4 linked regions of the Oryzias latipes genome follow. The protein of the gene in region 2 binds, or shares a complex with, the protein of the main gene of each other region. Links are inferred from orthologs where the notes say so. Each region holds a gene or a part of one and is shown on either strand. Other genes may lie near its edges. The genes, in order: cwc27, bud13, crnkl1 and cwc22.

The links.
Region 1: bud13 (region 2) and cwc27 share a complex: the UniProt entries of both Homo sapiens proteins name them as parts of the activated spliceosome. The link is inferred for Oryzias latipes from reciprocal best matches to the Homo sapiens genes BUD13 and CWC27.
Region 3: bud13 (region 2) and crnkl1 share a complex: the UniProt entries of both Homo sapiens proteins name them as parts of the minor spliceosome. The link is inferred for Oryzias latipes from reciprocal best matches to the Homo sapiens genes BUD13 and CRNKL1.
Region 4: bud13 (region 2) and cwc22 share a complex: the UniProt entries of both Homo sapiens proteins name them as parts of the minor spliceosome. The link is inferred for Oryzias latipes from reciprocal best matches to the Homo sapiens genes BUD13 and CWC22.

The regions. Positions count from the first base shown.
Region 1 is NC_019870.2:3,043,311-3,051,185, reverse strand, and holds the start of cwc27 (peptidyl-prolyl cis-trans isomerase CWC27 homolog), read left to right. Parts: upstream 1-2,824; 5' UTR 2,825-3,179; coding exon 3,180-3,221; intron 3,222-3,366; coding exon 3,367-3,463; intron 3,464-3,582; coding exon 3,583-3,695; intron 3,696-3,771; coding exon 3,772-3,915; intron 3,916-4,005; coding exon 4,006-4,104; intron 4,105-4,194; coding exon 4,195-4,298; intron 4,299-4,519; coding exon 4,520-4,589; intron 4,590-7,875. Other genes in the region: ppwd1 (peptidylprolyl isomerase domain and WD repeat-containing protein 1), read right to left, coding at 1-134, 847-1,037, 1,127-1,574, 1,644-1,764, 1,850-1,953, 2,222-2,324, 2,438-2,570. UniProt on the Homo sapiens protein: As part of the spliceosome, plays a role in pre-mRNA splicing. Probable inactive PPIase with no peptidyl-prolyl cis-trans isomerase activity. As a component of the minor spliceosome, involved in the splicing of U12-type introns in pre-mRNAs.
Region 2 is NC_019872.2:13,067,789-13,075,710, reverse strand, and holds bud13 (BUD13 homolog), read left to right. Parts: upstream 1-2,872; 5' UTR 2,873-2,901; coding exon 2,902-3,038; intron 3,039-3,179; coding exon 3,180-3,267; intron 3,268-3,668; coding exon 3,669-3,753; intron 3,754-3,830; coding exon 3,831-4,229; intron 4,230-4,532; coding exon 4,533-4,837; intron 4,838-4,921; coding exon 4,922-5,030; intron 5,031-5,182; coding exon 5,183-5,321; intron 5,322-5,402; coding exon 5,403-5,584; intron 5,585-5,729; coding exon 5,730-5,811; intron 5,812-7,565; coding exon 7,566-7,659; 3' UTR 7,660-7,868; downstream 7,869-7,922. Other genes in the region: uncharacterized protein LOC101171185, read left to right, coding at 972-1,008, 1,099-1,428, 1,529-1,626. UniProt on the Homo sapiens protein: Involved in pre-mRNA splicing as component of the activated spliceosome. As a component of the minor spliceosome, involved in the splicing of U12-type introns in pre-mRNAs.
Region 3 is NC_019882.2:16,311,915-16,318,418, reverse strand, and holds the end of crnkl1 (crooked neck-like protein 1), read right to left. Parts: intron 6,446-6,504; coding exon 6,287-6,445; intron 6,210-6,286; coding exon 6,043-6,209; intron 5,696-6,042; coding exon 5,517-5,695; intron 5,443-5,516; coding exon 5,272-5,442; intron 4,753-5,271; coding exon 4,561-4,752; intron 4,386-4,560; coding exon 4,326-4,385; intron 4,234-4,325; coding exon 4,153-4,233; intron 3,835-4,152; coding exon 3,595-3,834; intron 3,474-3,594; coding exon 3,372-3,473; intron 3,030-3,371; coding exon 2,781-3,029; intron 2,557-2,780; coding exon 2,203-2,556; 3' UTR 2,035-2,202; downstream 1-2,034. Other genes in the region: naa20 (N-alpha-acetyltransferase 20), read left to right, coding at 284-308, 628-718, 919-1,054, 1,122-1,267, 1,794-1,879. UniProt on the Homo sapiens protein: Involved in pre-mRNA splicing process. As a component of the minor spliceosome, involved in the splicing of U12-type introns in pre-mRNAs.
Region 4 is NC_019879.2:6,702,521-6,710,417, forward strand, and holds the start of cwc22 (pre-mRNA-splicing factor CWC22 homolog), read right to left. Parts: upstream 4,160-7,897; 5' UTR 4,039-4,159; intron 2,852-4,038; 5' UTR 2,850-2,851; coding exon 2,795-2,849; intron 2,697-2,794; coding exon 2,485-2,696; intron 1-2,484. UniProt on the Homo sapiens protein: Required for pre-mRNA splicing as component of the spliceosome. As a component of the minor spliceosome, involved in the splicing of U12-type introns in pre-mRNAs. Promotes exon-junction complex (EJC) assembly.

The sequences.
Region 1 (7,875 bases), on a different chromosome or scaffold from region 2:
CATTCTCCAGGGCGGGGTTGTCGGAGGCCTTCATCTCCACGGTGGGGGCCACCTGCATGGCCTTCGCCACTCCCTGGAAGAGACTGAGGTGAAGCACGCGGATGTTCTCCAGCTTCCCCAGGATCCGCACACATCTGGTGAGGAAGGAGGAAACTTTGAGTCAGGAGTTTCCTGAAGGCCGGCTGCGCGTGACGTCAGCTTGAGGCGACAAACACACGACGACAGGAGTTTCTTCAAATTAAAATGTTTATATAAATGTCCCACCCTGGAGAAAATTGTGTTTTTAACATGTTGTGGGATTTTTCTGATGATGGAGGACATATGTAAAGAAAATAGGGCTTAAAATCGCATTTCAAAGTATTTATTTATTCAAATTGTTGTGAATCAGGAGCAGACGAAAAAATGCAGTTGGAAAAAGATCGTATTTGTGACGTAGAAATCTCGCTGGGGGGGCCACCAGCTCCCTGCTGAGCTCTCGGGAAAGGGGTGGGGAAGAGAAACGGTCCCGCCCACAACTCAGAGGTGAACTTCTAAGAAATGACGGCCGCTCTGCAGAAACTATGTCCTAGAAAATGTCACAGGTTTACTTAAAGACCACTGGGAAAGCTTTAAGAATAGATCCAAAGATGAATGGAGTGAACCTCCACAGCGTAAACTTTTCCTTGGTCTAAAGCAAATGTTCTCATTTGATTTATTTCAATCATATTTATGCTTTTTTTCTGCCAATTATCAAACAAAAATACAATTCTTTAAATGCTTCAACATCACCCCAGCAATTAAAATGAAACCAGCCTAATATGCAACAGTTTCTCAAACTCTGAGGCCGTCCATGCTCTCCCGACGTACCTGTTGGTCTCCACATTGATGACTTTGATGCCGAGCATGGTCCCGTACAGAACGAAGTGGCCGGTCTCGTCAAAGATGATGTTTGCCAGCCGGACTCCGTCCACCTTCTCCAGCTCTCTCTCCACGGCCATCCGCCTCCCAAACTCCATGTCAGGCAGCTGCTGCCGCATTTGCTGCAACTCTGTGAACATCTAACATGTGACGCAGGAGCGATGAGCGACGACCAACACCACACCGAGGAGGAGGAGGAGGAGGAGGAGGAGGATGAAGGCCAACGTACCGTTAAGGACTCGTCGAACACTCTTGCCAGTTTTCCTGTTAGGAAACGGAAGATCCTCACTTTCCTGTCTGAGGCGATGGTGGCCATTCTTTTGCCATCAGGTGAGAAGGCCAAGCTGGTGGGATAGGTCTTGTTTTTTGCAAATTCATACAAGTCAGTGTCAGTTTTGTACTCCCACTGCACGTGCTTGGGAAACTTGAACTCGTTGGGAAGGCCTGTCCAGTATTCCAGCATTCCCGCTTTGTCGGCAGACACGATAACTCGGAATTTAGGATTCAAGCGGATTTGAGTCAGCGGGGAGGAGTGCAGTTTGTCAAAGACGTGAAGGGGCTCGCTGCTTCCCCGCCCATCGTACACAAAGATCTTCCCTGTGGATTTTTCAGAACACGCCACGGTGCAGATGGCGTCCCCGGGGTTGTAGATCCACTCACTCTGTCCGGGGTGAAAGCTGCAAACAAACCCTGCATCAGTGTCTGCCGCATCATTCAGGCTCCACTGCACCGTCATTGGAACTCACCCCAGCTTCAGCATGTTGATCATGTCAAAGTTGACCACATCGAAGACTTTCATGGCCCGATCGTCCCCAACAGAGCAGAAGAGAGCCCCTTCGGCACTGACGGCGATGCTCTCGATCACACCTGCACAAACACAGCTTCACGTTGAGAAGAAAGCCACATTCGTGCGCCTGCAAGATCGAAACGAGGGCGAAAACGAAGGTCTTACCCAAGTGGCTTCTGAAGTGTTTCACAAACTCTATACCCTCATCCTCCTTCTTTTTCCAAAACTTGACGTGGCCGTCTTGGCTGGCAGTTAGGACAAAGTCTGTTCTGGAACAGAAAAGGGACAGCGTGAAAAAGAGAGGAGTGTCAGATAAACGGCACAATTCCTCTAAAGAACATTTTGCCAGAGAGCACAAATTCTAAGTATTTTTACTATTAACTTTACTATAAGGTACATAGAAACACAAAAACTGCACACTCTTTTGCTTCTTTGACACCTGAAGCTGCATAACAGTTCTGATCGACTTGTCTTTCATTTCCATAGTTGCATGATCAGCTGAATGAAGTTACATTTCCACCACTTAGTTAGACTTACTTGGAACAAACTATATGCGTAATAATGTCTCTGTGCATGTAGCTCCGTTCATACATGGCAGCTGAGGGCAGGTTGTCCAGGTAAACACGCTCGTATTCGAGTACTGACACCAAACACACAAAAACAGGCAGAAAAGAGCGGGGGTTAGCGCGGATTAGCACGACTTCTAACAGATGTTTGTCACAGACCAGGGTAAAGCCGCCACCAGAAACCAACCTTTCCGTTTTTTAGTCGTCGTGGCTTCATTCGGCATGGGTCCGACCCATTCGGAATCTTGTTGTTCTTCATCTCCGTCCCGGTTATCTTCAGCCTTTCGCTTCAAATCCACACTGTTTTCAGATTCCGCCATCGTTGCTTCTCTTCTGGTTTGTCCTGTCGTGATTACGGCACTTCCGCTTGACTTCTAAATTCGTTAACCCTTCCAATCGAAGTAAATGCATACATATATAGTAAGTAAAAAATAAGATTAAATTAAATGCATATGCAAACACCTTTTACATTAATATTAGATTTTTTTTCAAACTTAAATAGAGTTTCCACTGAGCGCGATCATGTTTCCGCGGGGCAGTTATCAAAGAACACATGGATCAAACCAATGCAATTGAAGAGGGGAAATAGTTGGAAAAACGTAATTCGTTTGTTTTGTTGTTATAGTTTATTTTTATTTGCATGCTTTAAAATGCGGCGTTTTCTAAAGAAATACCCTTTTATCAAATTCAATTATATATTAAGTGCAAAACGTTTCAATAAGATTATATGTCTACCTTCTGACGTCCCTGTGCACTCGGAAGTAAACAACCCGCGAACAGATGCAGCTAAGATGGCTTTGGAAGTGAAACGATCAAATTAATCTCATGTAAGAAAAACAGTTGTAAGAATCATTCTTTACCATTCGCTTTGTTTTCAGTTAACTAAAAGTACTTTAAACGTATAAATTAGTTAGAAGTCGGGGGGCAAAATGAGCAACATTTACATTCAGGAACCTCCGACGAATGGAAAGGTGAGCGTTCAGTTTCTTTCGCTCCAGAAAAGCCCAACTTTCATGTGGTTTTACCTCTGAAATGTACAACAATTGTCTCCATTAGCTAATAATTAGATGTATTTATTGTTAACTGAAGATTGTATGTTGGAAAATGTTCTTCCAGGTTCTGTTGAAAACATCAGCAGGAGAAATTGACATTGAGCTGTGGTCCAAAGAGGCTCCCAAAGCCTCCAGGAACTTTGTGCAGCTCTGCATGGAAGGTAGGATCTGTCAAAAAGAACCAAAAATCGAGAGTTAAATCTGCCTTTTTGTTTTGTTTTCTTTCTTGGGAAAAGTGATCCAATCTGTGCTGTTTGGGTCTCTATTTCTAACCCTATAGGTTACTACGATGGCACCATTTTCCACAGAGTGGTCCAGGACTTCATCATTCAGGGTGGGGATCCTACAGGAACAGGAACCGGGGGAGAGTCCGTGTACGGCCGTCCGTTCAAGGTCCGACAGTTTCGCTGCTCGCTTCAGAAAAACGTGTGTTTAAGCCTAAGCGAAAACCCTAAACTTCACCTTTCAGGACGAGTTTCACTCAAGACTGCGCTTCATTCGGAGAGGCCTGGTTGCTATGGCGAACGCTGGGCCACACGATAATGGGAGTCAGTTTTTTTTCACGTTGGCGCGTGCGGATGAACTCAACAATAAACACACCATATTTGGAAAGGTGAGCATAACTTCAGTCCATTGTATGGTGGATGTTTTAAGAGCTGCTTATGTTAAAAAAAAGCCTTATTTTCCTTTTGTTTTACTGCAGGTCACTGGAGATACGGTCTATAACTTGCTCAGATTGGCTCAGGTTGAATGCGACAAAGATGAACGACCTCTGAGGCCTCATAAGATCAGATGTGCTGAGGTGATTCGTTTATTCACACCAATCAGAGCAGCTCCTGTATCTAAAAAGTCGTTTTTTTTCCCTTGTGATAATGTTGTGTGCGTCTTCCAGGTTCTGCACAATCCCTTTGATGACATTGTTCCTCGAGAAACGAAGAAAAGCAAAAAGGATAAAGACAAGGAAGAGGCAAAGAAATCCCAGTCAAAAGCCACGAAGTGAGCATTCACTCTTTCTTCTTCCCTGTTTATGCTAAAAAATACAACTATCAGACTTTTATTGTGAATGTTTTTCTCACCTGCAAAATGTAGTTTTCTTGGTTTTAAGTCCATGTGGCCTCGTATTTGAATTCCTCTTACAATCTTGTTGTTTTCTGTGATTGTAGTGGTTTTTGTTTGTTGTTGTGATTTGGATTAATGCTCCAAAAAAACTTTTCCAGGAACTTCAGTTTGTTATCGTTTGGTGAGGAAGCTGAGGAAGACGAGGAGATGGCGAATCAAGTCAGTCAGGTATGTTTCTGCTCTCCACAGCAAACTTTGTGCTGCCTAAAGCCTTAGTCCCAACTAAGAACACACGAATTATCAAGTGAGTGTACTTGTTGATGCATACGGGCATGCGACAGGTTGTAGTTAACACTTCAAATGTATGGGTGTTGTTTAGAGGAAAAGTCACGTGACCCATACAGCCACTGTGTCTGCGTGTCACAGAGAAGCCAAACAAGGAAGCGTATCGTTGCCAGATTCTTCGGTTTTCCACCCAGTTGGGTAATTTTGGAAAATTTGCTTTGGCGGGTTTCGTGTCAACTTGGCAGGGTTCAGTTAGTTTTATTATGAGTCTAAGCTATCTTTTATTTTGAAAAATTAACCTGATCTTTTCTGTTACATTTCAGTCACTTGGGTGTTAAATCAGTTCCGCTGCGATTTTAACAGAGTAGGAAAAAAACAGCTTTTCATGCACCCAAACTTCCAGCTGTTGAACGATTCTCGCCCACCCTGTTTTCCCCGCCCACCTGTGTATGACGTTTTATTTTACTGAATCTTTCCGAAAGGTGTTGAATGTGGTGTTTTTAATTAGGTTTTTGGAATCATTTAACAATTTTATCAAGGATTTAGGCTTTTTCTCCCCCCATTCCTCTCAGTTGGTCCAGCAGAATACAATTCCACTGCATTCTGTCTCTTATTTGACATGAATCATTTTATGTTTTGGAGGTTGTTCAGCAGAACTGTCAAACTTAAAAGCATCTCCCCAATGCTGGATCTTATAGAGCGCGAGACATGGGAATGAGGAACTACGGTAACAAATATTCTGTTTAGTTGATTTAATCAGTAAATCTGTGAACTTTCTTAACTGTGTTGCCTGCAATGATGTTTCTGGTCCAGCAGGAGTCAGTATTGAGTGAAACAGTATCATCAACACAGAATCCATACAGTTTGGCTGATGTGTCAACGCTTCACGAGGCCTCATTTACCCATCACTACTGCAGACTGCGTAAGGAGGCTGTAGGTTCAGCGCACGTGAAACGTGCGCGCTCCTTGCGAAGCCGCCTTACGGTCAGAAATGAGGAAAGTAGACAATCAGAGGGTTGTTAGTTTGGACATCCTACAGACACGTATGACATCTCATGCATGCAGCATTCGCGTGCGGTCAGTAAGCGGCCAGTACTCCCCCCCCCCCCCCAACACACACTCACCCGGTGACAATATATAGGTTAGTATCTATAAAAATTGTGTAAGTACACCTAAAATTGTATCTTTTAACATTAATAAAAGAAAAAAGCAATATAAATCCACTTTCAACAAATATTAACTTTATTTAACCACAGAAACCCTGTTATGGTCTAAAACAGAGAAGTAGCTTTAAGTGTCTGAAATTATTCCTTAGTTAAACTAGAAACATTTTGACCAACTGAACCATTTGATGCTGAGAAAAATAATTCAGTCACTAAATGATATTAAATGTAAATTGATTTGAAACATTAACACAGCTGCACCAATTTATTTAACGTTTTTAGTCTGAAGAAATAGATAAAAAAAATTGTGCTGATTTTATTTTTCTAAATGATGGATTGTTTATTTAAGATATCAAGAAGTGCAGCTGTTTTCCTGCATTACCTGCTGTCTTTATGTCAAATACTGACACCAACTAAACCACAGGCAGACAAAGAATACATTGATGGAAAATAAAGACACGTAACAAATATGTCTACAATAGCTCATAAAGAAAGACATTATTAGCATGAGCTGAGTCATCTAAAGGCATGTGATGATCCTGGTGTTGCGTAACCATGCAGCGCTCCGCGTGCACGTTCCACCTGGCAGCCTGAGCCCACTACCCCTCCCCTCTCCTTCTCACACACGCGTGTGACAGGAGACGGGGGCAGCTGCAGGGACGGCAGTTCACAGGTTTCTGTTACAAACTCTGAGATTTAAATAAATATTCAACCGGTTTTTAGTACTTAATTCTTATCTTTTTGGTTTGGCTCGCTTTTATCACAAAAAAATGACTACCGTAATTTCTGGATTATAAGCCGCTACTTCTATCACACGCTTCCAACCCTGCGGCTTCTTCAATGATGCGGCTAATTTATGCATTTTTTCTAACGGCCGCTAAGGGCGCTCGAGCAGAAAGGGTAAGAGTGAGACAGGGGGAATACAGTATATGTGAATGCTTTGTGAATGGATAGCACGAACAGACCCTCATCATGGAAAATGCAAGAAGAAATGCATATGACGCAGCTTTCAAGTTAAAAGCAGTCGTTAAAAAAATCCACCATCACCAACGGGTTTGGAAAAGCCGGTCTGCTGCTGACGGAGAGGACAGCGCACGCTCAGGAGGGAATTTACCTCAGAGTGACACTGACGGAGTGTGGCAAAGAATATCTGACGCTATTCCAATCCAACACTGAGGAGGAAGACTTCCATGGTTTTAGTGCACAGAGGCGCTGCTCTCAGTGACTTTTACCTGTATGTTTTTTTAACCAGCCCTGTCAGTGCTGTTTCTACCATATTGCTGCCGTGTTACTGCAGGCACTGATTGGAAGAGAGCTGTGGCGGACCTCGAGTGCAGCGGCAAAGGAAAGCGATATATACACCGATAGTCATGATGGATTAAATAAAGCATCAGTTCAGAGAAAAAATTCACCTCTTACCGTTTGTTTTTGTCCACATGATGAAGCTAAGGTTTGTTTTAAAGAAGCCAGTGCAGTGATACAGAACATTTAAGCTATAGGCGTGCATTATCACTGTGATAAATCACTTTTTAATTCACGCTCAGCAGAAAATCAGAATCGAGTACAGTGATCCCTCGCTATAACGCGTTTTACTTTTCACGGTTTCGCTACTTCACGGATTTGCATCGTGCATTGTGTTCTGCATTCTGATTGGCTAAAAAGTCACTCCGCTTCTTCTCTACCTGGGCGTCAATAACGTTGCAGTTTAATACACATAGGTAAATCAGCTTGCCAAATTTACAACACGTACGTGCAAATTATCTTGCAATTTTGAGTTTCTCTAAAACCCATAGAAAAAGAGCGACAACTGCCAATCACTATGTTCTTCTCCCGATCAAACACAGCTGCACCGCGGGCTTCAAAAGAAGAAAACACTGCAGAGCGGAGTCAGGATGCAGCGACTCAGTCTGAAGAGCAGTGAAATACACCTGAGTCACTATTTGTCCCACTGTACTTTGTATTTTTTTCATAATCATTTTAAAATTTCTCCTGTTTAATCCAATCCTTTGGGTCGCGGTGGGCGGGGCTAATCTCCGCGATTTGAAGCCTTCTGTTCACATCGATGA
Region 2 (7,922 bases):
TGTCTGGACTGAAACATTCTGGCTATTTTCAGGTTACTCTCATCAGAAAATACTCTGCTGTACTATTCCAATGAAATAAAAAATAACAGGTGGGGTTTGGGGCAATTAAGTATGAATGGAATCACATTTTTTTCACTTCATACTCTGTTTTTGATGAAGGATCTTACTGAAAAAACCTGCACTGTCCCTTTGGGAGCTGTTTGGGGGGGCTGAAGGGGTACATGAGGACAGATGGACTTGGAACATGAAATGGAGAGGACAAGGTCGCAGACTGTGCTGGTGAAAACCACGAGTTCTTCCCAGCCACCTGCCTTGTGTTTTGCATCGGACACTGCAGAGGGGAGAGACGAATCAGATCTCTGGTCCAGCATCGTCCCTCCCACTCTGTCTCCATCTCTCCTCTCAGATGTGCGATCTTCTGCAGTGCTACTTCAGCTGAACTGAGCAAGCGGAGGGAGGTGCTCGATTTTCCTCTAACGTAAGGTAAGATTGCTGCTTCCAAAGGAAAGAATAATAGCCTTATGGTTATATCCAGATTGCAAGGATTATTCTAAAACATGTGGCCAAATGGAAATAATAAACAGAAGGAATTTTATAACAATAAGGATTGGTCAATACTAAATGAAATGACATATTTAGGTTGTGACTTTAGTCTTTGCCACAGAACCGTGTGAGAGGAGACAAAACAAAATCAAAGTTGAGACAGTCTGAATCTTGTTTTGACATTTGTTTTGGTCACATAAAGATTAAGTTTTAGATTCAGAGCACATTCATGGCAGTTTCACTATTTTTGTTTTGTTTTTTGCTTTATTGGAGCTATAAATTACCCCTTTCTAATCCACCTGTGCAATAAATAGCTTTGTTTCCCATTTACCCACTTCTATTGTGTGCACTCACTTGCTGTGTCACAACAACAGTTTGTTCTTTATGTTGTTTTCTTCTGTTTTCAGTTGAATGGCCCTTTCTCCATCATGATCAAGTCCCTGTTTGTTTATGGAATGGTGGGAGGTAAGAACACAAAGCTGAAGGTGTCTGAAATAAAATCACACATAAAATCAAGCTTGTTTCTGTATAAATGTTCTTTGTTCTTGTCTCTAGCGCTGCTGTTGCTGCCAGTCCAACCAGATCAGATCTCTGTATGTGTTGAAGATGATGAAGACCTGAGAGTAGACTGTATGATCAAGCCAGCTCCTAACAAAATCAACAGCTATGAGTTTTCATGGTCCTCGGGAACCAAGGAGGTTTTAATCAACACCAATGTGTCTGGGTCTAAAGCCGAGGCTCAGTTTAATGATAAAAGCCAAGTGGTGGAACTGGAGCCTCACGGCTACAGGATGACCCTGTCTGACTTCAAAGACAAGCTCCCACCCAACACCACCTACATGTGCAAAATATATGGGGAAATGAAACAAATCACAGTGGAGAAAGGTGGGTGGACTGAAGAGCTGAAGGGAATGAGTGTTAACCAAAAGCTGGCAGAATTTTTCGATAGATTTTTGGTGTGCTTCAATAATTTCCCTCTTTACAGATTCCCTGGTGCCATGCTCAGCAGTGAGCGTGTTTCTGCAGAGATCCTGGTTCTTGATTGGCTGCCTGGTCTTTTTCCTTCATCACAATGACAGCTGATGGCACTGAGAAGAGAACAGTCAGGCTTTTGCAGATACTCACTAAGCTAAGCACTTTCGCTTCTGTCACAGAATAGATCTCTCTTCCTTCTGTAAAAAACACTGGTAAATGTTTCCACTGTAGACGATTTAAATGTTTAGGAGCTGAGAGCTGTGAGTACTGAATGTAAATTAACCATTAGTAGAAATGAAAGTGCAGCTTTTTCGTCGAGGGAGACAGTCTAATGGCAGACTAAGAGATGCAGTTGCTGACTTATTAATGAGGTATTATTGATTTTATGTTTTCTTTTCTTTTACATTAAAAAGCACTAATAGTTTTTGTGGCCTTTTCCTCACTGCAAAAGCAGCAAATTGATTGTGTTCTTGTTTGCTTGTTAATAAAAGAAGAGCTCTGTGAATTTGCTTGTAATCATTTCATTTATGATTGAACAAATATAATTGTTTTGTGTGTTTGTTTGTTTTTGTTGTTTTTTTTAAATCATAAATCAAAGAACACTGTTGACAGATAAATACCAGTATTTGGAAATGTCACATTTTCTCAATGGAGCCTAAATGCATTGTCATTCATGGAAATCATACTAGACCAGCAGCTGGTTATTACTGTCTTAGATAAACAATAACCCATGACATTTAATCTGTCTCTACATATTGGACATGACATGTAACAGGGACAATATTTAGGTCTTTTTGTCTCTGTTATAAAAAGCAAGTAGTGACGGCCTATATTTTTGAAAAAGTTTTAGTGTAAAAAAAATGATCGACAAATAAAAAAATAAGAACAAGAATTGAAATCGTATGCAAAGAAGAGTAAAGACTTTTACAATTCAAAAACATTGCTCTCCTGTCTTTCTAGGCATCGGTGTATGACCGACTAAATTTGTGGGTCAATTAGGGAAATCAGGCAATTTTAGCCTTTTTGGTGACAGTCATTATTTGTATGCCAGTCACTGGGTCCCACCACAGACACAGTCTTGCAGCAGATTGTGGCCCAGTAGTTATCATTTTTAACTTCTTTGGAGTCAACTTTATCTTCAATGTATTTATTTATGCATAACAGTAACTTTTTTGTTATAATAATAATAATAATAATAATAATAATAATAATAATAATAATAATAATAATAATAACAATAATAACAATAATAATAATAATAATAATAATAATAATAATAATAATAATAATAATAATAATAATAATAATAATACAGAAACGCGTCTTCTTCCTCGTCGTCTACATTGACCCTTGACGCGACCCGTAGTTTCCCACAATACAAAGATGGCAGCGGTCGGTGGTGGAACCGGACCCGAGCTTTCTAAAGCTGAGTACTTAAAGCGGTATTTATCAGCTGACGACAACCATGGTGCATCTAAAGGAAAAGGCAAGAAGAAACGAAAAAAGCTTCCTGAAACAAGGTGAGTACCGAAATACTGCGCCGTTTGGCTTTCTGTTAGCATCCAAGCTAGTTTCCTTATGCTAAGCTATTTTTGATTTGGAACTTTGTTTCTATGAGTTTAATCGTTTTTATTTTGTGTTACTTCGTTGTTTTTATCTAGACTTAAAATAGTAGACGATGATATTGATTGGAGACAAATGGTCCAACAGCAGCCGGATGTCGAAGAGGATGAAGAGGAAGCTCCGGTGGTGAGTTAGCTAGCAGCCTTGCGTTAGCATTTCCCCCGCAGTACGGTCTACTATGTTTAACTTTTACACGCATGAAAGTCTGATGGCGATATTTGATTTGATGATAATAAAATGTATGTCTTTCTTTTTTGTTAACATTATTGAAATGTAAATCCAGACGTAACACAGGAATTTCATCTGACGTGAGATTGAATTGATCTGCTTTAATGCAGGATAATCGATGCAAGATAGATTTGACACATTGGTTTGAATGAAATATGTGGGAAACTTGCATTGTGTGTGAAGCAGTCAACACAGATGTTTGAACAGAGTAAATAATGATTTGATTTGGTCTATGTTATGTACATTAAAGTTTTAAAGCCAAGGAAACCTAAATTTTGTACTTTGATTTACCTTCTCAGATTGCAGAGTTCATCGATGAGCGGCCAGAAGAGGTGAAACAGATGGAGGCCTTTAGGACCAGTAACAGATGGAAAATAGTTGGGGGTAACTATAAAAGCAGTATATAAATTTGGCTTCTTTTAAATTATGTTGTTTTTCATATTAACTGTGTTGTTCTGTAGCGGATGAAGACGAAGACAAAACAATTGACGAAGAAAATGAGCAGGAGGAGCCTTTAACATCTAAAAAAAGTCGGCATGACTCACCAGAGCTGTCATCGAAAAGTGGGAGACATGGTTCCCCTTTCAAAAAACCAAGACACGACTCTCCAGACATTTCTCCTCCTAGGAGAGGACGCCATGACTCTCCGGATAAATCCCCTCCCAGGAGAGGACGCCATGACTCTCCGGATAAATCCCCTCCCAGGAGAGGACGCCATGACTCTCCGGATAAATCTCCTCCTAGGAGAGGACGCCATGACTCTCCGGATAAATCTCCTCCTAGCAGAGGACGCCATGACTCTCCCAGCAAGTCTCCTTCAAGGCAACATTTAAGGAAGTCTGGGAAAGTTAAAAGTAAAGGTGAGTTTTATTTTACAGTTAAGATTTTCTTTCTTGCTTTTATACAGAACAATGCTCATTTTGCACAAGTCACTGAAAAAGCTGAAAACGGCATACCAATGCCATTTAAGCATTGAATAAGCTTAAAGCTGGAACCTCTTAGATTTTTGGGTTATAGTAGTTACTAAAAATATCAATAGTTATATTGACACAATAAAATGTTTATGTAAAACACATTTATTTTTTTCTATTTCATATTAGGATTACTAGTTTTGCTCTCTGCACTCTAATATATATAGTGCAAACATTCTCTTTGATTCTCAGAGTCTTCTCCCACTAGAAGGAAGCCCAGCTCATCGTTACACGGTAAACCAAGGTCGCCAGATGATCGGCGGTCTCCTTTAGCTCATAAGACTAAGGTTAGGCTGGATTCAGACTCCGATCAATCTCCTCCACGGAAAAAGCAATCGAAGCGAGAAGCTTCCGACTCTGACCAGTCTCCCCCTCGGAGACGCTCCAGAACAAGGCAGAGATCCGATTCCGACCAGTCTCCACCAAGAAAGCACTCGAGGAGTGGAAAGGACTCGGATGGAGATCTGTCACCACCACGGAGACCTGGCCAGTCTCATGTGAGGGATCTGCGCTGTTCAGGGATTCGTGTGAAACCTAATTTGCAGCACAAACCCCATCTAATATTTTTGTGTGTTTTTCAGGACCACAGGATGCTTTCCGGAGGAAAGGCTGGTTTGGTATCTGTGGAGATTCTAAGGGAAGAGCAAAAGGAAAACCGACGCAGAGAAAAAAAGAATCAACCTCTTGAAGGTTGGCCTTGCTTTTGTTTTTCAGTTTTACTTTTAAAAAAAAAGAGAGTTTGAAACAACCCTTTTCTTATCGTATAACTTTAGACTTTCTATATTTCTGAAGTACCGGTATATGAAAGTGTTTTTATACTATTTATACTATTTACGCATCAGATGAATCTCGTAATGCGGAGACGGTCTTCCGAGACAAAAGTGGCAAAAGGAGGGATTTGACCTCAGAAAGGGAGGAGCAGAAGAGAAAAGCAGGAGAAAAGGCTGCAAAAGATGAAAAATATGCCCAGTGGGGTAAAGGGTAAATCCACAAAACCATACCAAGTCACTGAAAATGCTACTTCCACCACATGTAAGAAGACAAGTTATTGTTTGTGTTTAGGCTGGCTCAGAATCAGATGGAGCAGCAGAAGCTGGAGGACGCCCTGCTGGAAGCCCAGAAGCCCTTGGCCCGTCACCGTGACGACGAAGATCTGGACCGCATGTTGAGGGAGCAGGAGAGGGACGGGGATCCCATGGCTGCCATGCTTCGGCGGAAAAAGGAAAAAAGCTCAAAAACACAAGGTTTGAAACATTCTACAAGTTTTTGTACTTTTTTTTTTTTTTTTACTCTTCTGATGGAAAAATTTGGGCATTAGTACTTCAAGTACAGCAAATATCTCAGTTGCAGTTTTACATGATTCATTTAAAATTTTCTTACTGTTTCCAGACAAACCTCGCTACAATGGACCTACGCCACCCCCAAACCGTTTCAACATTCCTCCCGGTTACCGTTGGGATGGAGTGGACAGGTACAGTTGAAGAAAAACCTCATGGGATGCTGCTTGTCAACTTTTCAGCTCTTCTGCAATGTTTTAGTTTTGCAGTTGTGATGATCACAGTTTTAGGTATTTTCACTATGTAGCAGTGGTCCCCAGTTCCCGAGACGCGGACTGTATCCATTCATGGGGTCACTTAGTACCAGGCTGCAGACAAAAAAATTACATATAGTAACTTAGATTATTTCCTTTTTTTATTTTTTATTCTGAAAGTAGTTTTATTTTGGAAAACTACTTGATTCAATTTGCCACATGTGTCTATACTCTTGTTCACTCGCGCATCGAAAATACATCCACTACCTTCTTAAAGCGGCTTCTCCGACCTCTTAATAAAAAGGTAACTAAGTTAATAAGAAAAAACATCTTTGGAAAGTTTTTTTGTGGGAGAGAAAGAAGCCATTGAGAAAATGAAGGAAGAGTTTTTGACTTCAAAGTAAAATCAATTATTTACAGATAAAACCAGGAGTCTTCCTCCAAATATGGATTCATTGCGATAGTTGTTCCCACCTACAAAGCCCACTTTGCATAATATGCGTTGACTGACTCTAAAGTTACACATACGCTGTTAAAAAAGTTGCAAACACAATGGATTCACATTTTGCATTTTGCGTGTAGAAAATGCCAGTTTCATGACAGTTGTGTCATTTCATTTAGTGTTTTTTGTTTGGCACACCTTGAAGATGCGGCTGACGTTGGCACTCAGATGTTAGCCTCCATTTTGGAGTTTAAGTGAAAATTTACATCACATTTTAATGGATCCTGAACAAAGTCTAAGTTTAAACCAGCTGCAAATATTTTACAGAGAATAAGGATTCAATACAATAACATTTGAGAATGTTTCTACAGCAGGTTTTACAAATTAGGTAGCCACCTGGTAAGAACAGAAAATACTCTTCTGTGTTTATGATTAATTTTTTTTGCCCTGAAAGATAATCTGAGCCTGAATTATTATTTTTTCTGCGTTATAACGAAATTAAAATCTGTAATGTTGCCTTTAATGAATTTTTACAAATCAGAAACAACTTCAACAAATCAACAACTTTGTCATTGAACTTTCTTAATTTGTAAAACATTTATTTACTGGCAGTTTCAAAGTCTTTAAAAAAAAATCATGATTTAGCATTTGAATTTAAAAAATACATTTTTTAGAAACCAGACGCTAAAAAAATTCAACCTCTTCGGACTCTGGTCCATATAAACATTTTCTGACATAAAAAAATTCTTTATTCTCTTTGATCGTATCAGCTTGGAAGTCATGTCAGCCCAAAGTTCAAGTAACTTTGAAAGAATTCAGTCTCTCTGGTCTCCCATAGCTAACTCCATGACTTAGGGGGTGGGGGGCCTGGTCGTCGCTGCTACTTGTCTGTCTGCCGTGGTTAGGGGTCGGAGCCTTCCGGTGCCCAGTGGGGGGCGGAGGGGACTCCGTTAGCCGGGGGGTCGGGTCCGGTGCCTGGGTGGGGCGGGCCGGGGTAAACATTTGATTCTTGCACATTCTGCTTTTTATTCCATTTATTTGTTTGTATTGTCTGCCCACTTTAAATAGAACTATTCTAAATTTCAATATAACGTAAAATATATTAAATGAAAATAAAGGCATTCTATTCTATACCTGTTGGGGACCACTGCTATATAACATCATTTGTGTGCCCTGACAGATTGCAGATGGATGTTTTTGTTTTTTTCAAAACAGCAGATGTAATGGAAGGATTTTTTTTTGTGTGTTGCAGGTCGAATGGGTTTGAAAAGAAGCGCTACATGCGTTTGGCGGATAAGAAAGCCATGCAGGAGGCAGCTTATAAATGGAGCGTGGAGGACATGTAAAGGCACTAGACCATCGTGTAGATGGAACTGCAAACGGACACATCTCAACAAAAAAATGACCCAAATGTTCCACCTCATCTTTCCAAATCTGTTTCATTACAGAAAACTGTACACAGAAGTAATGGATCATAGTGGCTTTATTTTAATTAATGTACAAAAAAAGAAAAATACTTTTGTGTCTGTTTTAATAAACTCGATTTTTTTGTAAATGTTCCTTCAAGAGTGTTTATTCTCCCTCTGAGGTTTGGATGTTAAAGGACTAG
Region 3 (6,504 bases), on a different chromosome or scaffold from region 2:
TTAATTTAAAGGCAAGGAATCTCACGAGAGTTTGTGGCTGAAAAATAAACATTTGGAAGAAAAATATTAGCTTCTTTTTGCTTCGACTCGAGCCGGCTGAGTTGTGCTGTGTCGACGGCTAACATATAACACTATGCATTAAGGATATTTTTACCCCGGATTTTTAAAACAAGTTCTACATAAATAGCTTTTTTTTTTTCACCCCTGACATATTGTACAAAAATCTTGCGAGAATTGTTCTGTGCTTTAAAGTAAACAGCGTTGCTCTTGTTTTGTTGAACAGAAATTTGGATCCTTTAACTGAGACTGTATCCTTTTCGATGAGCTTTCAATTCATCGTTGGTTAAGAAGGTATATCATTATATATTATACAATAATAAATTTCAAGTGTAAATATATAAGGAAATATGCAAAAAGTTTACATCTTGTTATCTGTCCTCTTGAGATTATGGTTTTTATTTTCTTAACTTTTAAGTCTTGTATTAAATATTTTAATAACATTTTATAACATTAATAATACATTTCTCAAGGAATGATTCCTTAACTATTTGTGTAGTATTATTTGAAATATACAACACTATAGTGTGTGCTTATAAAAAACGAGTTTTCTTGACCCTTGACCTCCAGTATGGGATCCCATTTTACCTGCAGTACCTGGCTCACTGGCCAGAGTACTTTATTGTTGCTGAGGCTCCTGGTGGGGAACTGATGGGCTACAGTGAGTTTTCCATGTTTCCTTACAATATTCCTTATGGTTATTGAAAATTTGATGAGCCACAGAGTTGTTTTCGCTTTTTTATTCAAATATAAAAAAGGAAAAATCCGTTTCTAAATACCGAGTTTGATGTATACAAGTTGCCCTTTAGTAGTTTTGACAGTTTGAAGCATCACATCTCCCATTGGACCTGTTTTTTGCAGTAATGGGGAAGGCAGAGGGATCTGTTGCTCGCGAGGAGTGGCACGGTCACGTCACCGCTCTGTCTGTGGCTCCGGAGTTCAGAAGGCTCGGGCTGGCCGCCAAGCTCATGGAAATGTTGGAGGAAATCTCAGAGAGGTTTGTATCTGGAAAGCTATCTGATTTTGATCATTGTATTGACCATTCTCCTTTTGTCATTTTAAAGGAAGGGAGGATTCTTTGTGGATCTGTTTGTGCGAGTGTCCAACCAGGTTGCTGTAAACATGTACAGACGTCTGGGTTACAGCGTGTACAGGACAGTCATCGAGTATTACTCTGCCAGCAACGGGGAGCCCGATGAAGATGCTTACGGTAACACTTAGAGCTGAATTTATTTTACTACATACATGAGAAACAGCAATCCCTGTTAGTGGAAATTAACCTTTCATTTTAATTTAGACATTAATACATTATTTAGAAATATTGAAAAGCTTAATTTTTTGAATCCTTTAAAAAAGAAACCATTTATTTATGATCAGTATTTGGGGTTTGATAAATGCATTTAATGCCCTTAGTATGAATAAGTTATTGAAATAATTATCTGAAGACTGTTATGTAGTCACGAACACTTGAAAATTGACATTTAACAAATGTGTAGTCTTAACAGGTCAATTTTACTTCTTTTTTTTTAAAGTAAACTATCAAAGGAATTTTTTTAACAAATTAAATGGATTTAGCTGTAAAATGAAAAGTTTTTCTGATTTACAGCCAAATAAAATGCAAAAAAAATACACGTAAATTCATTTTTCCCTAGTGTTGGAAAAAAAAAAAATATATATATATACTTTTTACTGGAAAGAATGATTTAAAATAATCAAACTGATGATTCTTTTTGCAGATATGAGGAAAGCTCTGTCCAGAGACACAGAGAAGAAGTCGATCATCCCGCTGCCACACCCGGTCAGACCGGAGGATATTGAATAACATCAGAGTGTGGCTCTCTGACTCGGATCTGCCGTCTTTATTCTGCTGTGTTGTGATTTCAGCTGTAGTTCAGTGACCATGTAAATAGTGAAAATGACACACAAGCGCCTTTTTTTTCTGCTTCAAAGTCGGAGAGCCACTGAATGTACAAAACGTTGCAGTTTTTAGTTTTTATTTCTTATAAATTTGAAAGAAAGTCAGTTGAGAAAACACACAAATGAGTCTAAGCGGTGTAACGACACAGAGAAAAGTTGCAATAAAGATGGCTCGTGAGCTGAGTTTTTTAAAAAAATGTAGAAAATCCCTGCCTGCTTTGACTGAATCTAATCTTTGTCCTCCTGAGGGCTTTTGCTCTGCTTCTTCTTTGCTTCCTCATCTTCATCACTATCACTGCTGCTGCTGCTGTCCTCGTCGTCTCGGTCATCATACGTTTTCTCCTGCTCGGATTCAGTCATGTTTCTGGCAGGCTCCTCCTCTGCCTGCTTGTCGGCGAGGCCCGTCTCCTCAGCCTCCACTGATGTTGCCTCTTCAACACTCCGACCTTTTTCTTGAGGCTCGTCGGTGTTTATCTGCTGCCTCTTCCACATCTTGGCCATCGCGAGCAGCTTAAGGTTGGGCTGGTTGGCAGCATCCTCTGGGAAGATGTAATCGTAGTATTCTTCCCAGCCTGCATCCGACTGATGGAATCAGGAAAATGGGATGAAAAACATTTCTTTTGTTTGCATTTACGTCTAATATTTGTTGAGTAGCTAATTTTATTAGGATCTGATGTGGTTTAAAGTTAAACAATTAACAAGAAAAAGGTGAAATTTTCACGGTCACACAGCGAATCTTGTCGCTCTTCTGGAGCAACAGTCACATTTTCCCTTTTGATGAAAAAGAATTTCGTCTCCTTGCTTACCCCATCTTCAGCGGTCAGCTTCCTCCTCTTCTTGACCTTCTCGGGCAGCAGCTTACTAACTCGTTCTCTGCTGCTGTCTGAGCCAAACTCCTTCTCATAGTCTCTCCAGGACTCCAGCAGCATCAGCCTCTCTTCTTTCTCCTCACAGTTCCTCATGCTCTTGTTGGCTTCCTCGAAGATCTGCCGACACTTCGCCAGCCGGTCAGGTCCATCGACTGACAGCTCGAATTTGGCATAGCTAATCCAAACCTGAGAAAGACAATGGTATAAGTCACTTGACTGGGTGAAAAACATTCAATTTAGGCTTTTTTTGTTTGATGGAAAAAGGTAGTTTCTCAGATCACACAAGGACAGTGGGAGAGATGGGAAAACAGAAGAGTTCAACTTTGGTTAGAAACAACATTTGATATTCTACTATCTGTCAAGTTAAAGATACAAACTAAGACTTAAGCTTAATGTTGGCACATTAATTTGTTTTTTTTTCCAATGATATAAAAGTTTAAAATTAGATTTTCAAAAATAATAACTATAATTGCATTAAATCACAACTAAAATGAGAATTCTTTTCAAACATATAAGCAGTTTACTCACCTTGACATGTTGAGTTCTCTGCAGCAACCGTTTGTAAAGGTTTCTTGTGTTTTCAAACTCTTCCTGCTCTATTTCAAAGTCTATGTAAGATTTCCACAGAACCTAAAGCAAGGTTTAAAAAACAAAGGATGTATTTAGGTAAAGTAAGAACAAATGAGATAAAAAATGAGGAGAGTATTAAAAAATTCTAATTATTTAGCATTTCAGTAGCTGTAACTCCTACCTCTGGCATGTCCAGTCGTGGCTGTCCAATCGCGAGCTCAAAGATCGCTCGGGATCTTTCCACGTCTCCCAGGATTGTCTCCAGCTCTGCAAACTTGATCCACGTGGTGCAGTTTTCCGGACTAAACTCCAGGTACTTCTCGTAGAGTTTCCTGCAGCGGTCAAATTCTCGCAGCTGCAGCTCCAGTTCAATGTAGCCCTTCAGCAGTTTGTTCTTGGGGCATTTACCAATGGCTGTGCCCTGAGAGGACAGAGGAAGGTGGTGGACCAGTTTTTGTCGTACTAGTTAAAATGGATACCAAACACCTATTTTTGTAAGTTGAACTAGATTAGTTTATGTATCAAAGTTCAACTTTAAATTGTGTGTTTGTCTCCTTAGGGAGTCCCTTGTTTTGAATAAATTTCACAGCTGTAGTGCAAAGACATGCTAAAATAAAAATCATATAACTTACAAAGAAATATACAAAAAGTTCCTTATCATCAACCAACACTGGTTTAGGAATATCTCTAAATACACGCGTGCATACATTTTTATACGGCCGAGTTTTCACCATCTTACCATAATCTTTCTAGCTGCCTGCAGATTCTTCTGTCTGATCTCAAACTGGGCGAAGAGAAGCCAGATCTTGGCAAACGTGAACTACAAAAAAAAAAACAAAGCAGGCGTCACTGTAAGGTTATGTCAGCAAACCGACCTTTTTTTTAAGAAATGACAAGTATTCTAAAGAATACCTTTTTGTGAGGCATAAGATCCAGACAGGCCTGGTAAACCTGCCTAGTTCTCTCTGGATCCTGTCAGGTGATTTAAAAAAAGGGTAAAACTTCTTGTTTTTGATTGCTCTGATGCAGAGGAGTCAGTATTTTTCACTTTCATTTGTTTTAAGATTCTCCAAGTGAGCAGAGGTGAGCATGCAGTTCCTTTCCCATGTGCTTTGGAAAGTAGACATGAGGTGAATGAAGAACCAACCTTGACTTCTAGTTCTTCGTACAGAGCATAGTTGATCCAGAGGTAGATGTATCGCCTCCAGTGCCTTTTCTCTTGAATGGGAGGGATGTTGGCGATGGCTCTCTCATAAACATCTCTGACCGTGTCAGGGTCTCCATCGCTCTCCACCAGGCGCAGGTAATCAAACCAGGCATCATAGTTGAGTGGGTTTGCCTGAAGAAGATACGAATCATGAGAATCCTTGTGTTTGAAGGCAAGAACCCTTTCCTCTCTAAGATCAGTAGTTGGTATGCAATGCTGTACAGCAAGCTAACACCCGACTGCATCTTTTAGATCAAAATCAGGTTTTAGTTTTATTTCTACCACAGATTAAGATGGGTCATTTTCAGAATTTATCATGTAAATCTGATCTGGGAGAATTAATAGATTCTTAGATGAACTAAGATTCAGATTTCTTTGTTTCATGCAGTAATTAAAACACAAAAAAGATACAACAACGATCTACAAAATGCTTAATAATTAACATTCAGTTAATTAGAAGTTGAGCTCTTCACAAACTAACACTTTTTTGAGCCACAACTCATGTTGCATCATTAATTTATCTGACAGAAATCTTCACATTTAGGTTTTTTTTTTTAAATGTCATCCAAATGAGCCTAAATTTGTTGTCTTGTCAAACTCCATGTTCTGCTTGTTGTTGGGTTTTACCCAGCTTCCATTTGACATTTTTACCTTGACCTCCTCTTCATACTGAAATCTTCGTTTGTTGATGATCACATCCTCAATCCCCCTGCGGTCTCCAAACTTCTTCTCAAACATGGTGTAGTTTTTGAAGAGTTCCTGCGCTTGATTTTTCGGAATCTTGTCCAACGCATACTTATAAATGACTCGAACCCGCTCGAACTGCATAGAAAAAGAAACTCTGTGTTATTAGAAGCCATGATTGCACATGGAAATACAATAAATTTTTCTTGTACCTCCTTCTGCATCTCCTCAAATTTGGCAAAAGCCACAAAGAGGTTTTCGTTGACGTGATCCTCTCCATAGAACTCCGCTGCTCTTTCGTACACCTTCCTGCTATGAGCAATGTAGCCATGTTTCTCTTCAAAGCGGGCATACTTGATCCAGTTCTTCACTTCAGGGTGAACCATCACAAGTGCGAGGAGTCAAGAAATGTTATGTTTCCAGCAAGATTACCCATGTTTCTGTTCATCCTAAAAAGGTTGCTAGTAATTAAATGGCCTTGGTATTCTGATTGTAAGTCAATGTCTGAAAAGGCCTCATCTTGTCTGGAAAATGTGTGGTTATAGAAGAAAAAAAACTATAAATTACCTAGTAACACAAACAGATGTCAGCAGAAGTTCAATATGTTGGCTAAAGTTATTACTTTAATTTTTTTCTACTGCTCAGTTTACTAACGTTCCTCTAAATAAATTTGGGTTGCAGGAAGAAAAGCAGTTTCTGTGAGGTCAAAATGGTCAAATAAATGATGTAAAAGGATATATCGCTCATAAATGGTGCGGGCTTTGTCCACCTCCTTGTAGCGAAGTTCAAAATTGATGTAAGAGTGCCAGGCCTGTTCATCAGGCTCCCACTCCATCCAGCGCTCAAACGCCTGCCTGCAGCCGGCAACGTTACCCAACATCTCCTCCATGTATGTGTACTTGTACCTGTTCAACAGAAGAATACTTCTTTAAAATAATGCACAAACTGGACAAAAGAAGTGAAGGGAATTAAAAAATCATACCAAAACTGGTTGACTCGAGGAAGGATGGTGATGGCTCTGTCCCAGATGTTGCGGGCGTGATTCACCTGGCGGTTTTTCATCTCCATCTCTGCATACTTTAGCCACAGCGTGATGTTGCGGTGATCGACATCCAGCGCTCGTTCGTAAATGGAGCGCGCCCTGACAGCAGGTAAGGCAGTGGTGAGAGAAAGTGGACAGCAAAGGCATGCAAGGTTGTT
Region 4 (7,897 bases), on a different chromosome or scaffold from region 2:
TCAGAAAAAAAGAGGACATTTTGATCATTAGAAAAAGAAAAAAAGCTTTGAAATGAATTAAGACAAGTATATAATAAGGACACTCAGACATTCAAGAAGAAACCTTTACAAAATAAAAAAGTTAATGACAGACTTCACACATTTAAATTCCAGATGCATCTGATTTTGAAAAGCCAGACAGATAAAACATGATTTTCCAAGTCTTTAGGATTAACAGCACAATGTAATATATTTAAACAGAGAAGTTAATTTCAATAGTTTATTTATGTTGACTCTTTTTTTAAACTAAGAAAGACAAGTGGAAAATTATCATTAAAAGTTGAAGTTTTTTCTTCTTTTTTTCTCCTTTAAGGAGTCTTAAATAGTATATTCAAAACAGACACTTTCTACATGGAAAAGAGTATTAATTTCCATAATTCATTTCAAAAAATTGAACTTTTATAGTGTAAAGGTTTGGGGCCCACCATTTAATTGATTTCAAGTGTATTTGTTTGGGGATTAATTGGAGTTCCAGCTCATAAAACCCACAAAAACAAGATTTCAGAAAATCTGAATACGGTACTGTGGGGAAATCTCCCCTTTTGCAAGAAGATAAAGACGGAGGTCATGATCACATGAAATCCATTAAAATAATGTATTTTCAAAATGATATGTCGATCTTCATTGCTAGGTTGGGAATCCCTTAGCCTTAACAACTGCCTTGATGCACTGTGACATTGATGCAATCAGCTTGTGGCGTTATGGGAGCCCAGATTTTCTTGATGCTGCCGTCAGCTCTTTTTTTGTTTGACCCCATACATTTTCAATGGCCTTTAGGTTTATCGAGTTGGCAGGCCAGACGAGCATCAAACCAGGCTTTGGAGCTTGTAGCGATATGGGCGGGGTCTAAGTCCTGCTGGAAGATGAAATCTGCGTCTCCATCCAGATCCTCAGCAGGAGGAATCATGAAGTCTTCTAGAACAGTGGTCCCCAACGTTTTTAATGCCACGGACCGGTATGACGTCACAGAAAGGTTCCTAGGACCCGTCTTGAAACTTGTAGACAGATGATTATGGTCGCTATGCCATGATAAACAAGTACCAGAGTCATGGCAAGACGAAGCCTGAGCTTTTATTTTTACACGCATGACATCGTACAGGTGTCATCATCCTCTCCCCTTCCCACATTCATGGTGCAAAAAAAAAAGAAGTACTGTCTACTAAATGTAGCCTTCTTTTTTTGGAAGTGGAAGGCTCCTCTTCTGTTCCCAGGCTGGGTGTTTTCCCCTTGGCAAAGAAACTTTCCACAGACGTTTGTTTTTACTCATTTTGCTAGATCCTGGGTTTTATTTTAGCTGTAACCTATCACATGATCGAGAAGAGCGCCTCGGCCTGCATCAAGAGTGACATAAACGGATAAAACAGATAATCGGGCAATTTTTCAATATAAAACATCTTTCAGATTCGGAAATAAATAAAACGGAAGTAATGCAAGCTTCTTTTTTTTTTCTTCCTCCACGGCCCGTTAACAAATGACTCACGGACCGGTACCAGTCCGCGACCCGGGGGTTTGGGGACCGCTGCTCTAGAACATTCTGCTAGACGGAAATCAGAGTTTTCCAACACCAGTGCTGGAAATTGCAGCCCAAATCAGGACTGACTGTGGAGATTTCACACTGGACCCCTAGCAGTTTGGGTTCTGCTCCTCACCAGTCCAAATAAACGGCACACTTATCTCTCATAACAAAACAGGACCGTGGACCGCTGGCCAACAGTCCAGTCCTTCTTCATTTTGGCCCCATTGAAATGTTTCCTCCGTTTGTCCAGGCTCAGAAGTGGTTTAACCCGAGGAACCCGACAGTTGTAGCCCATCTCCCACATGCGTCTGAGTGTAGTGGTTCTTAAAGCTGTTCCTCCCCCCCATTCCACTCTTTCTGGATTTCTGGAGCTTCTTTAATCTTTTGATAATCCGCTGAAGCCCACGGTTGTCTCTTTTGCTCCTGCATCTTCTCTTGCCACATTTTACCCTTCCATTGAACTTTCCAGTGATCTGCTTGGACAGCTGTGAACAGCCAGCTTCCTTAGCTAGGAACGTTGGTGACTGATTACCCAGACTATGGAGGGATCAATGACGGTCTTCTGGCCAGTTGTGAAGTCTAAAGTCTTCCCCATATTGAACCTTGATTTTAGTAGGTGATTAGTTGATGAAACCCAATTTAAAACATTCATGCTAGCTAAATTTAGGAAAATATTTCCATAGTATTCCAATTTTTTTTGAAATCCTGTTTTTTGTGGGTTTCATAAGCTGGAATCCTAATTTATGCAAAATAAATAAATAAATAAAAAAATCAAATAAATACGCGAAATTAATTAAACAAAGGGACATGAGATTAGATTCTATTAAAGTGTATTTTTTAATGCAATTATGGAAATGAACATACTATTGTTATGATATTCAAATTTTTGGAAGTTGATTGTAAAACAGTACGTATATGAAATAACTCACTTTGATTTCAGCAACACTACTCCGTATCTTCCTTAGTGCACCATGATGTTCATCTTCACTGCTGCTGCTGTCTGAGCTGCTAGAGTTGGGGCTCTTGGATGAGTTCCTGGACATTGGAGACTTTCTTTGTGGAGACTGCTGCTCTTTGGTGCTTTCCTCCTCTGCACTAACTTGTTGGAGTCTCCCATCAGCTGGATTGGATTCGTCACCTGCTGTACATCCAGAACAGACCCAAATAACAATTTGATATCAAATCAACTGATGCCGACATTTGATTACTACACTATTGTTCTGGCAGTGTTTTACTCACCTCTAGGTGGTTCATTTTGAGGAGTGGGACTTTGGCTTTTATCTGAAGAGTCCATCACTAAAAGAAAAGGAGGCAGAAAAATAGTCAATCTCCTGTATAGTGAACGGAAAACATAAAATCTTCTTTCACAACACAACTTAAAAGCATTTAAAAAGAAGAAGAAAAAAATCACAACATTTTTATATTTGACTATCTATCTCCCATCAATGCAACAGTCTTTTGTGATCAATAAACAATTATGAGGGATGACTTTTTTGGGGTGGTGGTGGTGGGGATGGTTCTTAAGAAGGCCAATAAAGTAAAAAAGCAAACGAATAAATAAATAAAAACCTCTTTGGAAATCTAATCAGTAACCAGAACATCAGGTGAATTCTAAATGTACAGTAATATTGGGTATGAGCAGAGCAAGACTATAAGTGACATTAATAATAATAATAATAATAATAATAATAATAATAAATGTTGACTTGATTTTACAATCCAGTTTAATTCATTTAGTACGGAAAAAGTTTAAAAGAATGAGAATAAGGTACACATGGGTTGGTTGCCCATGAATACTGGATTAAGAAAAGAGCCAATTTATTTTTCTTATTTTGGTAAAACTTCAAGTGCACTAATGTCCTTATTCTTACTTTCAAGCAGTAGGAATCGAACTAAAGTGTCACCCTGGCTCAAAGTTTGAGACGCCTTATACTCGGACTTGTTTGTTTTATGTGGAATCTCCAGTTTAACTTAAGGGCAGCCATACATTTGAAGAACTTAGATGGCAAACCAGTTATTTTGGAACCACACCAATCATGTTTTTTTTAAATGTAGTAATAAACAGTTTCTGAAGTGGTAAGGTCTTTCAGATCCATGGAAAGAATAAAATAATCAGCGATCCCTAGTTGCTATCTATTTTTTTAGGTATAATTGTGTCATTTTATTATCCACTGAGCTAACAACAGGTAGCTCCAGGAACACTGAGAAACAAAATACCTACAACTAATCACAAGTCAAATATTAAGCTAATAAATATCAACACTAGTCGAAAATAAAAGATTTGTTTAACAATGTTATAAACAAACTAATTTTTACACCAGAGACTGACGGCAACCATGTGAATCTGGATGAGCTACTCGGCTAACTGCTAATGCTACATAAACGCCAAAAAGATACACGACTAATTTTTAGCTAGTCTGTTAGTAAAACTAGAAAATCGTTCATTCATAGTCTTTGAATTAAAACTATATTCCGTTACTTGCCGTTTAGTAGCCTTCAAATTCCCTTTGTCGACTATATTTCGAAATGTCTCTTTACTGTCCTGTTAAGGCGGAAAAACTTAAAATGTAGTTCCGGTTCACAACGCGCATCCGGATTTCACAATAAAAGTTTTCTTGCTGTGTGGAACAGCAGAGTAACCGAGGGAATGGATTTGTTTAATAAGTTTGACATGTCATACTACTGACGTAATTTGTACGTTCAACTAACGACTCAATTTAACGCTTAAATTAGATTGGAGTTCAATTCTCCCTGTGTTTTCGTGTCGCTTTGTCAAACTTCGGCCGAAGGGAGAAAACACAAGTTAACACACTCTCCTCTGTACTTTCAAAATAAAAGTAAAAACAGAATCCAAACGACTTTGCCCAGAGACCATAATTATATTGCACTACTGATAAAAACCTAATTTTCGACGTGAAGAATGTATTATATTTTATGATACAAAATAGATATATTTTAAAATCCTCCACAGATCGCAGACCCAAACAACACAGACACTTTGAATTGACACTTTGGAATGGACGTGAATGCTGAATCCTCCAAAGATGAAGATTTTTTACATTGATGATTAGTAGTTTTTATGAAAGTGTTGTTCTGAGGTTTGTGAGAAAAAACTCACTGAAAAAACAAAAACAAATGGACAACAGTGCTTTAAGACCTAACCTTGCAAAAATGAACAAATGTTAACAAAAAATTGCCGGTAGCTCCCATTTCTGTACAAAGAACTGAATGAAATAACTTCAAAACATAAATCAAGAGGTGGTCATTAGCTTTTAGGAAAAATAAGTACATTTTGGTTGTATTCTTAGAGTCGTTGGCATTGATATTTTGCCCACCTTGCAGCCAGGGGTGACCACAGCTCAGCAAACCTTACTAATAAAGCGGTCAAAATTTGTAGTAAAGATGCTCACCTTGTTTTCAGTGATGACACTGAACTAGAACCTTTTGAAATTAAAACCAAATTAATTTATCATCTTTGTATAAAAGCATTACTTTTCATTTTGGCTGCACATTCTAAAGGGAAATTGTGGTGTAAGATTTGTTGCAGAATATAAACTCACCAAACTTCAGGCATTGATTAGGTATGATATTTATACAATACTTTATGAACACTTTCTCCTGTTTTTTTTAGTGATTGTTAATGACAAACTGAATAAAAGCTGTTATATATTTTCCCCATATACGATGGTCAGAGGGCTGCATGGTGGTGTAGTGGTATGCCCTCTCTCTTCACAGTGAAAAATGCCTGCTTTGAATCATGGCTGGGTCCTTTGGAGTTAGCATGTTCTCTCGTCTTTCATTCCTCCCTCTGCATATTTAAATGCATTGTAGGTTAGTTGCTCATTCTAATTTCTCTCCAGGTGTGAGTGTGTTGTTGCCTAGCCCTGCAACCTATACTAGCTGTACCTGATCCTTGCCCAACAACAGCTGGGATAGGCTCCAGCAGCCCTGTGATCCCAAATGGGATTAAGCTGGTTAAGAAAATGGATGTAGGATTTTCTCTAGGTATAGACAATCAAATTTGAAAGGTGACTTCACCTCTTGACCACACTCCTGTTTCCTCTAATATCATGTAGTTGTCTTCAACTAATATCAAAGAGAATCAAATGCAATTGCCCTCGTCTTTCATAAAACCTTTTATTCCCCTTTTAAAAAGCTTCGTCAGTTCTGACTAACGAAAGATGAGTTTTGAGACTTTGGATCAATCCCTCCGAAATGCCATTTAATCACTTCCATCCACTCATCCTTCTATGAAGTCAGATAGTGGTTTGTTCTGGTCTGGCAGGTTTTATTGCCTGTAGAGCAGAATCAAAGCTTCATTTATTATTGCAGTTTAAATGTAATTGAGAACAAAACAATCATTTCAGTCTGGAATTTAATTTTAAAAAAAAGATTCAAGTCTCCCATCAGTTTTCGTTATACTTGGAAAACGAAATAAAATGTTATGTTTGACTGGACTTCACGGGTCATCTACATAGCTTCTTCAGCTTTATCTTTATATAACCACACAAACACATTTGTACAGAAAATAAATACATTTTTATTATTCTTTTCTCTACAGATCGTCTCCTCCCTATATACCCCACTTACAACACATCCATACAGAATACAAATTATCATCAGCTAAACAACTGAAGAAATTAATAATCACCAAATAACCAATGTGTCGTGTAAAACATGAGTCCTCATCAGAGAAAGTGGATCGGACCAGCAGAACTGGAGTTAGGAAAAGTTAAAACACGGAGGAGAATCAGAGATCAAGGCTATTTAATGGTTTTCACATTGACTGAAGGAGAATATTTAGACATCTAGATCCTTTCTACACCAGTGGTGAATGTTGGAGAACCACAATGTCTGTAAGATTTAGTTATTACTGATGAGCCAGCCTTAGAGTATAGATTTATAGTTCAAACGTTCCATGCCATGTGCAGCACACAGCGGTTATCTCCCAAAAAAAGTTAAGTTCTAATAAAAGAGTCTGTGAAATGTTTTCACATTAGCATCATAAAACGTGTTTTGATGCCTGAGTGCCTTGGAAAGGCTGACATTTCTCTCCCCCAGTAAATGGTTTTCTCTCTGCATACATTCAAAAAATAACAGCATGGTATGGAAAAAACATTCACACAGTATTATGATGTATAACAGAGATTAAAGAAATGTGCATTTCATTTTCTGACTTAAAAATGTAGCTCGACCAGAAAAAGGAGTGAATCCCATAGTACATAATCATCACTGAGCTAACAGCCTCTTTACCTAAATTAATTCACATTATTGAACACAGGTTTGTCGCTCCTCCCTCCGATCGTATCATCATCCTCATCACTGTTGCCGTGACAACTTACTGGAACCTCTAACCTCCGAGCTTCTGCGCTTTAAGACATCACACAACTTTTTCATGGTGACTGGTTCAGACTGCTGCACCCACACAGCAAAGGCTGCTGCTTACTGTCTTTGCACAATAAAAAACAGGAAACAGTTTTGAAACAGAACAATAAACACCTTCCAGCAGTTACAAAACTTTTACTTTCATTGTTTAATCGTCATAAAAAACTAAAAAACAGTTATTTCCTTTAATTGAATGAAAGTAGTGATTTTGATTCAGGTTTACAATTAGTTTCAATTAGCAACATTTGGTATTCATGCTAAAAATTATTTCTGATTTCTATTAAACTGAAGGTGGCATCAGCTCCCCCCCCCCCCCCCCCCCCAGGTTACCTGATATGTTAAAGTGTCAAGCTAAAGTTGAAAGGTCAGGCTCACGATGATGAAGATGATGATGATGATTTTTCATTATACCTCTGATGTGTATTATAACATATTAGATTCACTGTGAAATGTGCTTAGAAGATAGAAGATTTAGAAATTAGATAGTTTGCATAGGAAAAATCTTTAAAAGGCAGACGGAACATATTCAATGCCCAGCAAAAGCCATGCAAACAAGCAAAAGGGTAATAAAAAAGCCCCTCTACTGCTCTAAATCTCTTTTTGGTTTTTAATCTAATTTTTTTCACCATGCTACTAAAATGAGGATTTTGTAGCAAAAGAAATACAACCTATATGTGGATTTGTTTTTAATGTTTATTAAATAACTTTAAAAAAAATCATGATTGGCTAGCGTGTATTATCTTTTTATTTTTGTTTTCTGTGTTTTGATAATATCATGGAATGAAAAAAAAAATACTGTGAGTTTTAGAATTTAGGATACGTTTTTCTCAATCAGCATCTTTGTTTCTGTGCCTTTTTTAAACTCACTATTTTAATACTGGATACATGTTTAAAATAATAATACATTTGGAATACAGAGTTGAATGATTTTCATGTCATTTTCAACTGCCACAAGCA